3 linked regions of the Oryzias latipes genome follow. The protein of the gene in region 3 purifies or fractionates together with the protein of the main gene of each other region. This does not show direct contact. Links are inferred from orthologs where the notes say so. Each region holds a gene or a part of one and is shown on either strand. Other genes may lie near its edges.

Region 1 (5,017 bases), on a different chromosome or scaffold from region 3:
TCCATCCATTCATCCACCCATCCATCCATCCACCCATCCATCCACCCATGCATCGTCCCATCCATCCATTCATCCACCCATCCATCCATCCATCCATCCATCCACCCATCCACCTATGCATCCACCCATGCATCCATCCATCCATGCATCCATCAATCCATCTATGCATCCACCCATCCATCCACCCATGCATCGTCCCTTCCATCCATCCATCCACCCATCCACTCATCCATCCATCCATGCATCCATCCACACACACACACACACTTTTGAAATGTCATTTTTGTTGTTGCATACATTGATTCTCCGTCCACTTAATCTACACGGGACGAAATCTGCTTCAAACTTAACTTTCTCTCCACCTCTATAGTTAAAGCTGGAGTCAGTTGCCAGGCAACAAAGGCTTCCATGAGGGGAACTAACCTCGTCCATGTACTCGGGCTCAGAGGCTGAGGCGTCCCAGCGGTTGTTGAGAATGAAAATGTTGGGGCTGGAGAGACGCTCGTTGACCTTGTGGAAGAAAGACTTCTCCTGCAGACAGACACACAGTTAGCTCCGTGGGACCATGGGCCATTTGGCAGAGGGTCTGACCGTCTCACCGTCTGCATCAGGGTGGACTCAGAGTTTGCCACTAGAACAAACACGTCCGCATCCAGGCAGAACTTGTCGATCCAGCTGTCCAATTCGGTGGTCACGTCGATCCCTGGGCTGGGGGGGTGAGGGCAGACGGGTCAGCTCAGACCACCTCCTGTCACATTCCACAAGCCAACAACTGACCTGTCAACCAGTACCAGGTCATCTCTGAGCAGGGCACACTTGACTTTGGGCCACATGACGCATACCAGGCTGCCAGCGTCCAGGTCCTGGTCCTGATGGAGAGCGTGGGCCAGCTGGTTGACCGTCTGACACAGACAGGAGTGTCACTGGGAAGGCCCCACCATGGCAGCCAGCATGAATGACGCCAACAGACTCACCTTAATGCTCTTCTTTTCCTCCGAGCCCTCGGTGAGGAGAAAGCCCTCACTGCCGTCTGTGCCCTCCACCCTCAGGAAGCAGTTGGTGGTATGTCCGATTCCAGATGGCAGGACTTTGTCACACAGCATGGCATTGATGACTGTGCTTTTCCCATTACTGGTCCTAAAGAGCGGAAATGAGACAGCTTAGCTGCAGTGCATCCCCTCGCCTGCTTCTCCTTTCACCTTAGAGGTCAAAGTGTGAGCAGGAGACCCCTCCCTCCAGCTAAAACAACGGTACCTGGATCTGAGAGCAGGAGTAACTTTCAATGATCATCTTTTGATCAGAGTGGATCAGTTTTCTCGACTATTTTAACCTCTTCTGGAATGTTAGCTGTTAATCTGGTCTGTAGAAACGGGGGTGATTCCAGACCCCTACTACATTTGATCTTACTAATATCTATTTTATTATGGGGAGCACTTTGAGATGCTTTGTACCAGGAGAAGTGCCTAACAAATAAAGTTGAGTTTGAATATGAGTTTACTAGCTTACAGCCCTCACACCCCAAAGCTGACATTGATGGTGCAACAACAATGGCAGCAATATCAGAGCTATCCAGCTCCTCAGTTTACATCCAGATTCCAGCTCAGACCAGGAAAACAAAGACGTATTTGAGACGTAATTACAGTTTTTTCAATTGTTTACACACAATTTTGCAAACCAGGTTCCATTTCTCAAAATATAAATCACAATGATCCAAACAGAACACTCAATTTGCAGAATTCCTAGACTGTTTGCAAAATGACACATTTCAGTAAAACATACATGTTTGTGAAAATGTCGCTAGTTTTTATTTAACCATGACGGTCCTCAGGGATCAAACACTATTGCTGACAGTTTCACACTGCTGTGATAAATAAAAAACACAACTGTAAAAAAAAACCATTTTAGGAAATTTGGTCAGACGTAAGGGATCATTTCACCGACCTGGTAGAATGATCCCTCACATAGTGAAGAATCACATGCCTGCTCCATGGCCTGAATGAGGGGCAAACGGTCTTATGGCTGCAGGTCGTATACCTTTCACTGCCATGTTGAAAAACCTCTTCCATTGGATTCAGGAAGGGGGGGGGGGGGTATGGGGGAAGGTAGAGGACTCCAAATTCAGGGAGAGGATGGAACCAATTGTGGACCAGAGCAGCTGACGGAACGACAATGTCCTGCATCTGGTCCACTTGGTTTAATGCTGTGACATTCGTGTACAATCTGTCAAGAAATACAAGCACTAGATCTGCATGATAGGGTTCCAGATTTGCGCGGTGGTGGATGACCCATTTTGTGTGGTAGCAGCACAGAAGGTGTTGTTACCCCCTTGCTGCCCCGGCACATTGACGATTGTGTGTTCAAATTAGCACGTGTGCTTTCCCACCTTGTGGATGTGAGGATCCAATTCATTCATTTGTGTGGTCATTGGCAATCCTGGGCTTTGTAATGTCCAGGAAGTAAGCACACAATCCTTATCTGTGTTGAAATGTTTGTTTAGTTTCACAGATTACTGTGTGTAATGTTGTGCAAGAAGAGTGACGCAGACATTGTGTGTAATGTTGTGCTAATCTATGGCAGTGTTTTGCTCTTTGGAGTAGAATTTTGCAAATTGTGTGTAGATTTTTATTTCAGAGTGAAATCAACATTAAAAACTGTAGTACGCTGTGGTACCCCAATGATTAACTACGTCACAAATACAATGCTTTTCAAACGGCCTTTTTTCCTCTGCTCCTGATTGACAATCATGGAGAAATACTCAGAAATGCCATTTTAATGTGAACTTTCTTTCTTTCAAGCATCAGTTATCAGAAAAATACCACAACATGCTAAAAAGTCCAAAAACATCATTTTCACTGGAGTGGGTCTTTAAAGCGGGCTGTGGCTTTAAAATAAAACCATCTTGCTGGTTTTATTTGTATTACCCAAGGAGTTCTATCGCTAGAGGAGACATCACGTGGTTCCTCATGGGAGGAGAGCACCGCCATCTTGGTGAGGTCAAGTCACTGCTGCAGTTCATTGCATGTGAACACATTTAATGCAAAATTCCAACTGACAAAATCAGAGAAATGAGTCCACGAAGGAGGAAGGCATAACATTTCACATGTAGGTACGATAATTGTTTTCTTTTAATGCTGCAGGGGCTTCATTAATATTACACATGCTGACATGCATGATGCTGCAGGGCCTTTATCAACATGCTGCATGATGTACGGATAATTTGCTGTCAACATAAAAGTAAACTTTATTTTGTTAAACCTTTATACAGTATACTAGGACTAGGCTATTACAGTAATATAGAAATATACATTTCTGACTCAGTGACTGAACTTTTCTTGCAGGTTTCCAATGGATTCAGACTTCAGGAAAAAGTTGGCCTTAGCAATAAAAAGAGTTAACCCAGATGGATCACTGTGGTACCAACTAGTAATACAGTCTGGTTATGTTCAAAAGATTTGGTGGAAACAGATTTTGATAAGAGGCCAGACTGTTGGCTTGAAACCCGACACCATAACATCTGTGTTACACCAAATTGATGACTCACATGAATCAGTAAATCTATTGTTTTTCTTTTTCTTTTTTAGGGTAAACCTGTTGTTGACATTTTGCCCTATTGTTGACTTATTATTGATTTATTATTATTATTTGACGTTTTATTAATTTATTATTATTATGTATTATTATTGACTTATTGTTGGGCTTTTCTAAATAATTTAAGTTGCATGTCAAAGAGGTCTAAAACTTCTAAATGTTTAAAAATCATTTTTAAACATTCTTTGTAATAATGTTTTTTTCAATAAGTCCTGCAAATATGCATTTTTCATTAAAGTTGGAGCTTATAAGGCTGACAGTTTCTCTTCTTTAACAACAACAAATGATGTATATGTATAAATATTATATGTATAATATATAATTTATTTATATATGTATAAACCTACATATATATATATAAATTAGATAAAAGCTACTAAGATGCCACCAAAGGCTATAGAAATCATTGTCATGTGGGCGCCGTCGACCTCACCAAGATGGCGTCACGCTCCGCCACCGGTGGCCAGGCTTCCCAAGCGGTTGTGTCTCCTCTAGCGACTTAACTCATTGGTATTTCCTCACCTTCTCCTGACATAGTCCCGCCTCCCTGGTGAGGGAGCTGGTAGGTGGGGGAGGGAGGTGTCAGAGGGTGAGAATGACTTTCAGCTTTTCATCAGACGAAGACAGGAGAGGGCAGCAGAGGAAGGAAGAAGCATGTCTTCAGCACAGGCACACCTGAGCCCATAAACTGGAGCAAATGTCTCCTAAGTGAGCGCCACAGTGAGCTGGTCTTCAACCACAGCATCAGGAAACCGTTGGCTTTTACAGCTTTTTTCCGTCGAGGTTGCCACAGCGAACCAGCCTCCTCCATCTAACCCTGGAAGGTGTTTCCACCTTTCTTTAAAAACCAACCACCATCTGTCCTTCAACATTCCTCTCCTGAATACCACACCTGTCCATCACATTCCATTGAAATCTGCACCAATGACAACTCTCTCACTTCCAGTGATCCTCACCATCACTTCATCAAGGTCCAACCAGAATGTCTCCTCCTCCAGCAAACATCCTCCCTGTGGGGCAAACCCACTAATATTAACCACCACACCTTCTATTTCTATCTTTGACCTCATCACTCTATCTGACTCACTTTATACCTCCACAACACTCCTAACAAACTCCTCCGTTAAGATAACTCCTCCTCCATTCTCCTCTCATCTCCACCATGATTGAACAACATGAACCTGCTCCTCAGCTTAGTCTTCTGCTGTTCCAGCTGGTCTGCTGGACACACAGTACGTCCACCGTCCTCTGCTTCATGTCCACTAACGCTCTACCTTTTCCTGTCATAGTTCCAACATTCAAAATCCCTCCTGTCAGTCCAACACTCAAGACGTTCCTCTTCTCTCTTCCTACAATCACACCTTCCTTCTCTCCTCCTTCCACCAGCAGTAGTCCAATTCCCACGGCACCCTTGTGGTGAACGGTACCG
Region 2 (4,960 bases), on a different chromosome or scaffold from region 3:
TGTTCCTAAAATGTTGAACTGTTCCACTGAACCCAGCCTTTTCCAGCTTCCATGTTTGCAGAACTTTGTGAAAAACCCACAAAACACCGTAGTCCTTAAGAGAAGGAGAGGGAGACCGTGATGTTTAGCAGGCTAACATGTCGCTCTGTGTAAATCAGCCGCTGGAGCCTGGAATAGAAACACATGTGCCTGTGCAGTTCACTAACGCAAGTAAACTCTAAAATCAAAGAGAGGTGCTTTGACGAAGGTGTTTCCTTCACCTTGTTGCTCCACCAGTTCTTGTTGTTTTTCTCTAAAATCAGTCAGATCAATTGATTTTAGTGACAGTTTAAGTGAATGTGGATCAGTAAAGATGACTGGATTGGTGGTTGCTGCTTGGTTTCTGCAGTTTACTGTGACTTTCTCCATCCTCGAGTTAAACCTGAACGCTCGCTGTGAACCGCACGGCTGCCATCACAGAACTGTCGTCTTTTGCCTCCTACAACTTACTGTTCTGTTTTTATTTTTAGTGTCTTTTTGCCAGTAAAGACCAGGGACTTTGGTGCCATATAATTCTTTTACAGTGCTATTGTGTGAAATTATAATCACTTGGTATGGAATAATTTTTATAGTCCTTTTCACACCAAACCCTTTTTTTGTATTTGTACAGTGGCTTGGTGATACTGGTATGTTGCCATGAGTTATTGTGACCAATAAACAAAAAAAACTTTAACAAAGAGTTTTCATGCCTGTTGGTATTATTTAGAATCTGAAAGCGTGCAGAAAATGCATGACACGTTTTACAGGTGTAATATGCGGCTTGATGGATTTGCATCCAACACACAACTCCCTTTTGTGTTTTTTCAGGAAGTCAGAGGCGTTTAACACGAGCACGGTGGGCTGGAACGTTCATATGAAGGCACGCACTTTGTTTGAGAACCATTTATTACATTCTGGGAGTATTTCCACATTTGTTCAAGAGAAGAAAAAAAAAAGATTACAAAATAATCGGGCCCAACTGTTGTACTATAGAACATATAAATATAATATTACAAAATATTTGAAAGGTTGTTAAAAATGCAGCATCAGATTTGATTGCTAAACCTAAAATCTATTTGGGGGTTTTCTAATAAATGCTTTTATTGTGAAATTCTGTTCAGGCAGTTGATGTTTGGAGGCAAATACTTGAGCAAACATGCCATCTTAATGTGTTCTTTAACAGGTAATCTGAAAGAACCATACTGAAAATGAGTGCCAGAGCATGTTAACGTGAAAATACAGCATCGCAGTTTCATGACTGAGGGGCTGAGAAACACATCAAATTAAGATTCTTTTAATCAACATTACAGATTATTTGTATTTTATTGAAATGGAAAAGAAAAAAAAAAAAACAGAAACAATTGAAACCAGACTTATCATATTTAGGGATTGTAGTTTTGTTTTTCTGCATTCCAATGTGTAGAAATGTTTTTTTGTTGTTGAGTTTTCTGGTGTTGTAGTTTTTTTTTTGTAAAAGATTTGTAAGCGGGGCTCTGATCTGAGGAATGAGGAGCTCCATGAGAGCCAAAGAGCCGAGGGAGGAGATGGAGCATCTTCACTCCTGTGGCTGCAGGTACTGCTGTGTAAATTCCTCCAGTTGTCTCTCCAGCTCTGTCGCTTTATGCCTGCAATGCAAAAGAAAACAAAAACAAAATTGACCCAGTTTAATCAAAGGATCATTATAGTCATCTATACCATGGTATGGGTGAATAGAAAGTAATCATGGATACCCATAAAGAAGTAGCCTGAATGCTCTACATAACTAAGCTGGTATAAGCACCAGCTGGTTAAGGGACCAACGGAAACTCACAACACGAGTGGACATTCGTTGTTCCAGTTTATCCCAACAGCAATGTTGCCTTTAAATCAAGTCATTTGTTGTCTGTCTTGATTCAGAGTGAACCCATGTTTATAAATTAGTTCATTATTAATTACTAAAAGAATGTTGTTATTCATTTTATCAGAGTTAATGGGGGATATTTCTTGCAGTAAAAGCGATCAAGGAAACTGCTTGTGAACTTTGTTTGCTTCATCATCGGGTAATAACAAGCATTCTGAGCCAAAGTTTCCCTCTGAAATGATGCTTGTATCACTCGTAAGAGCCACTCTGATGAAAATGGTGTTTTATCGTGTTGTTGTGGAGCGGATGAAAAAATGCTGTTTGAAAAAGATGATGTTGGTTATTTAGGAACTACTTTGGCAGGCCACATCCAACTGCAGACAAATAGATCCATGGCCGTCTTTGTTTTCCTCGTCTGAGTTGGTTTCTGGCTCAAAACTGTACGGCCGGATAGCTCCTCGCCATTTTTGTGCCTCCGGTAATGTTAGGTTGGGGGTTTGAGGGGCTGTAAGTTAGCGGGAGAGCATGTAAACAGATGGATGACAGTAAGGGGGCGGGGTTACTCTGTGCCAACAGTCCCGCCCATATCTCAGATGCGCATTTTTAATAAAGTCCTGCCGCTCTGTGTAAATGATGTCCTAGAAAACGACAAGCTTTTGGATTAAAAACAGTTTAACCCTAAAACCACTGGGGGGCACTTTGAAAATAGATCAAAAGATGATCAGAGTGGGTCTTTAACATGAGATTTATCTTACATACTACTTTACTTCCTAGGTTAGTCTTTATACACCTGCTGCGGCAGAGTGAGGTTGGTGCAGGCTCTGTAGTCGTTACCATGACAACACGTCACATCACATATCAAATAGTCCCCCTATTGTGAAAAGGGATTTCTTTCATAAGTGACCATGGTATAAACGGGATGCTGTCCTTCGAGGTGTCCATCAGAAATTCATGGACATCGGACGGTTGCTTCCGCAAAGTCCATGAATTTCAGTAAATGGATACTTTGTCTGGCATTATGACTCACTTATGATCCAAGGCATAAAATATTGTGAGAATTCCCACAACAGATTGTAGAGATCCTTCAGTGACTTAAGGAGTTGTACTGACCGCAGGCTCTTTGAGCGACTCTGGACCTTCTCCATCTGATCTATCTTGTCTGTCAGTTGACGGATGTCTGCCTCCAGCTCTTTCTGTGTCTGGTCCACCTGCTGACAGAGCCGAGCAAAGGTCGTAGCCATCTCCCTGGCAACACAGAAGGCACATTGTCATTCTACTTATTTATTTAGCTCGGATACAGAAGAGAGGGACGGCAGGGGATGAGCTTTGTGCGCATGCGTGTGTGTTTGTGTGTGTGTGTGTGAAGGTTTGCATCGATATGTAACAAAGACTCAAGTGACTGGAATTAAAATCCAAACAAAATAATGAAATCAATAATAACATAATCCTATAAAGATACCCTAAAACACGGGTATAAACGGGTAAAAAATGATCAGGAATCGTAAAGTAGCAAAAAAAATGACAAATATGATTAAAATTACATTAAAAAGTAAAGATTTTCCATTTAAAACCAAACTATTTGTTACACTGAATTGTGGGGAAAAGGAGTCATTGCATCACCGCTGTATATGTTTACATATGTTTATATTGAAAGTGTCAAACACGTGAATATGCCAAATTTAACGCTGTTACATCAGCCTTAGTACAACTGGAAGGTGTTACTTGCTTATAAGCGTATTAAATAAATTGACTTTTCAACATGTTTTTTTTTTTTTTTGTAATTTACAAAATCCCATTTCAAACTGAAACAAAACCTTGATGTTAAAACAAAAATGATGATAATCGAGGTTTGAGCCGAATCGTGGGGAGAGTGAATTGTTGCATGCCGACTGAAAAGCATCATGTCCCGAGAAGCCAAAGCCGTGTGGAAACTTACTGCTGGACCTGGTGACTGCAGTTAGCACTTGTGAAGCTCACGATGAGCTGCAGCTTCTCGGTTGCGTAATCCACAAACTGCCGCTTCAGAGCTCGCTCCTTCGCCTTCGTGGTCCACGTGAGTCTCTCGTACAGGTACAGCACGCCGTAAAGAGAAGCCGACAGAGCGATGAGCCTCCAGCCCACCGTTTTCCACACCTGAGGGGGAAACGCAACAAAAAATATTCATCTGTCAAAAAATGTAAGACTAAAGAAACAAACGCAACGTATCACGCAAATATTTTCACACAAATCAGGGACGACACAGTCATTTAAAACACTTAGATTTTTAAGTAATAACAGCTTAGAGTAGTCTCAATAGCTTATCATTACTGACAAAATAATGTTTATATTTTACTTTATTGTTTTATGTTGGGTTGATTGTTGTTTTATACTTTGATTTTTTTTGAAGAATATGTACAGATATATATTTGTGTACTACACTCTATATATTGTAGTATATTTTGAAATTTTGTCACATTAAAATGAAAAAAATAATACAAATCTATTCAGTCGCCATTTTGTCATATACCAACGCCACCGTGTTGGGATCAGACGTTATCACAAAGCAGTGATTGGTCCGAGTCGATCTGAGTCATTTCTTTGGCAACCACTCGAGCCAATCAATAGTGAGCTTCTTGGGAGGCCACACCCCTACCAATTGACAGAATCTGTCAATTAAACGGTTAGATTGTTCGACGCGAGACCATCTACTTTTATTGAGGCATCCCAGTGGGCAGTTTATAACTTGAATAACTTGCAATAAAGAAAAATATATGAAACAAAAATAGGATTATTAAGAACATGAGGGTTTCAGAGCAAAAATGGTTATTCTGACCAATAGAATGAGTAATAGCTGTTCATTTCTCAATGAAATTCTATAGGGTTTTGGCTTCTTGGAGTCAGCAGGTACTTCCTGTTTGGAAGGCCAGAGGGGAGGAGTCACCCAGTCCAGTTCTTATATACAGTCAATGGTTTAGAAGCAGAGAGCAAAGTGTTGAAAATAGGTCACATATTTGTGCTTGTGAAAACCACATACCACTCCTCCAGCAATGATAACAGTCATGGAAGTGCGTGAAGTTAGGGATGCCACGTTGTTGGCCAGTGCTATCATCAGCTCTTCCTGGC
Region 3 (5,611 bases):
TCAAATATTAAGGATTCTAAAGTCATTGGAATTTCAAACTACATTGTGACTGTATGTGTAATGGTCATATTTAGACATTTTAATCATTTATATTAGGCCTGCACAATACAGCGCAAATTTATCGTTATCGCAATATCCAGCTCTGCAATAGGCATATCGCAAAAGACTGCGAATATCCCAATAAATCGTAAACCCAAAATGTGTTAAAACAATCTTATGGCAGCTTGAAGCATTTAACGCATCAAATAAATCCCTTTATGCTTTGACCAATCAGATGGACGCCTTCCCATTGTTTACCAATCAGATGGAGGCCTATTATGTTAGATGTTTGTCACCTATGTCAATGAGGGTCATTTGGAGTGTAATTTTAAACTGTTTCTAATGAAATGGGAATGATGTTTTTGGCATTTTTCTATTTTTTTTATATACCGCAAATTATATCGTTATCGCAATATTAATTACTAATATTGTATATCACGTGTTTTCCTCATATCGTGCAGCCCTAATTTATATATATGAATATATAAAATGAATTCTGAACAAGGGAACCTTCAAACGAGTAACTTATATGTCTATACTGTAAATATGTAAATACAGTAATGTTTGTGTCCAACGCTCACTTTATGACAGATACATGAAATAAAGCAGCTTTTTTCTAAACTTTAAAAGTAAAAAGCAAAAGCATTTTCATGAGCACCAGCAGACGAGTCAAATCTATTTAAAAATAACTTAGGTCAATGGGTCAGTGGTCCAACATTAATGGACACATGACAAAATCCAGCAGTGCTTTAAAAAGGTTCCTTTGCAAAAAGATCTTGACAATTCATAGAGAAAAGGGAGACTTTTCAGCAATAAGGAATGTGGTGAACCGTTGTGTAAGTTAGAGTTCAGACTGGATCAAATGTCTCCCTCACACATTTGTGAAACACTGCATTGCAGTGGCAGCTGGTAGCCAGCCCAGATAAGAGCCGTCTGTTTGCCACCGATAGTCTGGGTACACAACTGTGTACGTGGCGTACACCTCACTACTATCAGCTTCCTGTACACAAAGGGGAGCTCTGCCCCACACCTGCAATACGCAGCTGAGGCACATGCATTTTCTTTTAATGCTTAAAAGATTATTTCAAAGCTCAATATTGACAGAATGTGCAACCAGAAATGACTTGTATAAGCCTTTATCAGATTCTGTCAGTGCTGTGGGCCTCGGGGTCCTGTCTGTGCACAGAAATGCTTGGGGAGCGTCATCGGTGTGTGGTTAGACGTAGGTGCTACATGACATTCAACTCACTCTACATCATGGCACGGCTGGTTATCTAGTTTGAAGAGCGCTTTCAGGCCCCAACTGATTTACATCAATACTATTGACTATCAAAAGAAGAATTTCTATTCAATAAATTGATATCCAAGTCCCTAACTTTTTGACACCATTGACCGCCCAGTGGCCTTTAAGTCAGGTCAAAAAAACGATGCAACCAAGATTAAGAAAATAAGAACCTAGAATACCTACAGCCTTACAAAGAGTTCTGGTGTTCACTGGGTCACTAAAAGAGGGATTTGATGGAAAGACTGCTTCGTGAAATGGGGCGGCAGTGGCTCAGGCAGTAGCTCCAGTGCGGCTCCACTGGAGTATAAATGTGCATGAACGTCCTGGTGATGGTCAGAGGGACCGTAGGTGTGAACTGGCAGCCTGTTCACATTGTGCGCTGAGGAGCTGTCACTTTAACCCAATGCATCATGGGAGATGTAGTGTGAAACTGCCGCCGAGGGCAGAGAGACTCGCATCTCTGAGCTTCATGGTTTTGTTCACTTGTTCCACGGTCTGACACCGGATTCTGTGGAAAGCTACACCGCTAAAGACGAGCTTTAGCTGGTATTTTTGTTAGAACTGAGAGACTTTATGAACAGAATCTGAAGAAGGAAGTGAAGAATTTAACCACTTCTGATTGGTCAGACTGATGACGTGTGATTAAGCCTCCAAGAATGATTGGTGGAGACAGTTAAAGGGGCGGGACTTTTCATAAAACAGAGCTGCAGCGGCTAAATCGCGGTACCGTCATTCTTATCAAAATGTCTTTTATAGAATCAAATGAACACAAAGAAAAAGTATTTTACGATCTTTCATATTCCTAACTACTCAGTGTTTTATCAGGACCTGTTTGGATGAACACAGAGCTGAAATCCTGGAGATGGGAAATGTTTTTAGATCAGTGAATGAGGACAATCTCCCACGGCACACTAGTGGGCCATGCCACACCGGTTGAAAAACAACACAAATGGACCGGGCATTTCCAGATGTCACGCTGTTAACACAGGTTCTTGGGGCAGACGCCCACTAACCTCTCTTAGTAGAGCAGCTTGTGTCCTCAGGTACACCTGGGGGCAACAGCCGCTCTTTGCTAATGACACAGCTAATTTGACAAACGTTTAAAGACCCAGTCTGATGAAAATGTCATTTTTAACATGTTCTTGTGGTATTTTTCTGATAAGCTTAAAAACGCATTTCTGAGGTTTTCTTTATTTAAATCATTATAAATCAGGAGCAGACAAAAATATGCAGTTGGAAAAGGAGCTTGTTTGTGATGTAGAGAATCTGCTGGGCAGGATTTAAGCTTCCTGCTCTGCTCCATTCTGATCATCCACCTGCAGACAAATAGATTCATGAAGGTCTTTGTTTTCCTGGTCTTAGCTGGAATCTGGATCAGAACTGGACGCCTGGATAGATCTGACATTGCTCGTCATTTCTGCTGCACTGCTGATGTTAGGTTGGGGTTGTAATGCTGGTGAACGCTAGCGGGGGAGGGTGTAAATAGAGAGCTCAGATATTGGGTGACGGGAAGGGGAGCGGCTTGCTCCACGCCAAAAGTCGTGCTCACTCTGAGGCAAATTACTGATGAACTCCTGCTGCTCTGCAGAAACTATGTCCTATAAAAACAACACAGGTTTGATCATTTTGGCTAAAAACTGGAAAATCCTAATTCAAAAGGTCATTGGGAAGACTTTTACAATAAATCAAAAGATCCTCATAGGGACTCACAAATATGCATAAACTTACAAACAATGAATCACTTCAGAACTGAAAGCATTTTCCTCCTGAACAAGTACCAAAACTCAATTATCATGTTTTAATACTATAGTAGTACTGTATAATGTTTGGTTAATGAGAGAGGTCTTTATTTGGATTCTGTTAAGTGTTTATACAGTACGAGACACAGAAATGTGCGTTCATAGCAATGAGCTATTATTTCAGATAGCATCAGTATACATACGCGGGGGGGGGGGGGGGGGGCAGCGTGTTGTTGCTGGAACTCACCTGTCCAGGTTCTGCTGCGCGACCACTGCAGCCTCTTCCGCCATTGTAGTGGGGATGTGGGGTCGAAATTCTCCCTATTGCTGTCAATATTTAACTGCAGTAAACATACATTTACTCGAAATCCAGCCCCTGATGACTCGGTTAGCTAGCTTGGTTAGCCGCACGGGCTCGTGCGTTGGTTTCCCGCGTCAGCCGCAGTCCAACAACAATATTATCTACGGCCTAATAGTCATGTCTATCCGAATAGCAACGATCTACGGACTATGTGCTATTCCGGGTAGAAATCCTTTTTAAACCTGTTACGGCCTCGTTTGCGTGACCGTTTGACTCCATTGACTGGCCGTCTCTGAGGTAACGTAAGGTACCGTGTGTCTGACGTCATCAACATAAGCCCAAAACGGAAGTTAGCTGGAAAATTTTAAAAATAAAGACATAAGTTTGTTTACTACGATTTTTAGCAAACATATTAGTTTAAAAATATTTATGTTTACATTTTTAGAGGTTTTCTGCTATATACGCCAGGATATGAAGACAAAAATAAGAATTCTTTCAATAATTGCGTCCGGATCTCCGTTACGCAAGAACGGAGACCACATAATTCCTACCTGACGTTTTTTCACAAGAAATTTCACGTCTTATTTCATAAATTAATTCAGACTTTAAATACAAGCCTTACACCAATTTTAAAACATTAAATACCTTTTTGAATAACTGGTGCTGTCATTACAAGTCCCGTTCAACTACAAGTCCCATCAGCCACCTCGGTATTATCCATGCGCTGCAGTCAATCAGCTGTTGAGGCAACTGCTGACTACTTCGGCACCACCAGGGCAGCTCGTTTGTGAAATCCAAAGCCCGACGAGGCGTGGAGAAGTAGCTTTATTCACAGTCTCAGAAAGGTGAACGATAAAGGTAATGGCAGTTTAACGGAGGGGCGACGTCACCGCGCGTGCATGCTGTTCTGACGTTTACAGGACATATCAAAGAGGGATTTCACGGCAACATCGTGTCATGTAAACGGGGATGTCTCGACCACACTAGCTGCTTCAAGTGTCAGCTGTTTTGGTCAGGGTGTGTGATGAAAAGGCCAGAGAGGGGAGCCCCCCCAGGCAGCTCAGTCTCCCGCGTCCATGACCTTGGAAGCGTTTCTCTTGGAGGAGAAAACACCGAATTCCCCGGTGGGCTGAGTGCAGCGAGTGTTTCATTGAAAGTCCTGCTGGTTGTTTTTTTATTTCGATTATGTTGTTAAAATGATCTGACACACGTGGAGTATTGATTGAAAACATCCGTGCTATTAAAAGGCCTGAAAACGATGCTTGTTTCAGTGTCACCACAGCTTTAAATTGTCGTCAAATCTTTGCTGATCATTGGCCAGGCAGAGTTTGATTTATTGTTGTGCCTCTAAAACTAGTTCAAATGACACATGTTACTGTGTGCTTTGAGTATTTCTTATTCTCAACAGCTAGAAATGTTGTTGTTTTTTTATTCAGTCTGTAAATCTAACCTAACTTGCGGCATATTTGCAGAATGTGCGCTGGATTTACGCAAGGCGTTGAGCCGAAGCAACGCACAAGGAGCACATTTATGCTGCAAACTAAGTCCTTTTTCTGTGTTTATAGAGAATAAAGACTTTTCTAGTGGCACTATATTGTGATCCTTAGGTTTATATCGGTTGAAATGGCGAGGGACACTCTGTTCCACGAGGGGAAATGGGATCAGTGGGAATGCGGTCCTGTCTCATTTTACGCAATAAGAAAAATCGGACAGATGATCGTGAGGATTTATTTTCGGTGAGACCTCCGGTAGTTGTGGTGATTCTTATTCACCGAATCTGCCCAAAATGTAAGGAAACAGCAAACAAAAAAAGCCCTAAGTTTTCCAGTTGCGCAGTTTTCAGTTAAAGGGAAATAAACGGAACGAGGTGTCCGCTTCCAGCAGGAAAGGTCCAGTGGTCGCTCATGTCATGTCAGAGCAAAAGCGCCTTTTCACCTTGTGGAAGGACAGCTGTATTTACTGACGTATGGAAATGAGAGCAGGGGAGGCGCTTGGAGGGCAGAGGACGACCAGTTTCACATTGCAGCCCTGGAGTTCCTGCGTGGAAGGAAAAACGAGACGTGGCGAAATCTGGTGAATATCAGCCGCAGTCGCCTCGCTCGGCTGGAGGGGTTCCTGCTGGGCGCTGTGGTCTCGGGAAGAGGCCGTTTGTTCTGCTTTCGGATAAATGGACGATCAGCGCTCGGCTTGCAGCCGGCCGGTCCAAACGTTATCTCGGTGTCGGAGTTGTCCCCAGCCCGGTGTTTG

What was found. The genes of interacting proteins can lie anywhere in the genome.
Region 1: the proteins of march5 (region 3) and mfn2 purify together in Homo sapiens (affinity purification with mass spectrometry; 5 studies listed by BioGRID and IntAct, counting the BioPlex papers as one, with this or other methods). This does not show direct contact. The link is inferred for Oryzias latipes from reciprocal best matches to the Homo sapiens genes MARCHF5 and MFN2.
Region 2: the proteins of march5 (region 3) and mfn1 purify together in Homo sapiens (affinity purification with western blotting; 4 studies listed by BioGRID, with this or other methods). This does not show direct contact. The link is inferred for Oryzias latipes from reciprocal best matches to the Homo sapiens genes MARCHF5 and MFN1.

What each region holds. Positions count from the first base shown.
Region 1 is NC_019865.2:32,485,686-32,490,702, reverse strand, and holds part of mfn2 (mitofusin-2), read right to left. Parts: intron 1,138-5,017; coding exon 975-1,137; intron 903-974; coding exon 778-902; intron 709-777; coding exon 600-708; intron 532-599; coding exon 424-531; intron 1-423. UniProt on the Homo sapiens protein: Mitochondrial outer membrane GTPase that mediates mitochondrial clustering and fusion. Mitochondria are highly dynamic organelles, and their morphology is determined by the equilibrium between mitochondrial fusion and fission events.
Region 2 is NC_019862.2:9,072,618-9,077,577, forward strand, and holds the end of mfn1 (mitofusin-1), read right to left. Parts: coding exon 4,872-4,960; intron 3,992-4,871; coding exon 3,795-3,991; intron 3,104-3,794; coding exon 2,969-3,103; intron 1,644-2,968; coding exon 1,574-1,643; 3' UTR 907-1,573; downstream 1-906. UniProt on the Homo sapiens protein: Mitochondrial outer membrane GTPase that mediates mitochondrial clustering and fusion. Membrane clustering requires GTPase activity. It may involve a major rearrangement of the coiled coil domains.
Region 3 is NC_019873.2:3,259,981-3,265,591, reverse strand, and holds the start of march5 (E3 ubiquitin-protein ligase MARCH5), read right to left. Parts: upstream 3,674-5,611; 5' UTR 3,355-3,673; coding exon 3,311-3,354; intron 1-3,310. Other genes in the region: cpeb3 (cytoplasmic polyadenylation element-binding protein 3), read left to right, coding at 4,389-4,488. UniProt on the Homo sapiens protein: Mitochondrial E3 ubiquitin-protein ligase that plays a crucial role in the control of mitochondrial morphology by acting as a positive regulator of mitochondrial fission and as an important regulator of immune response.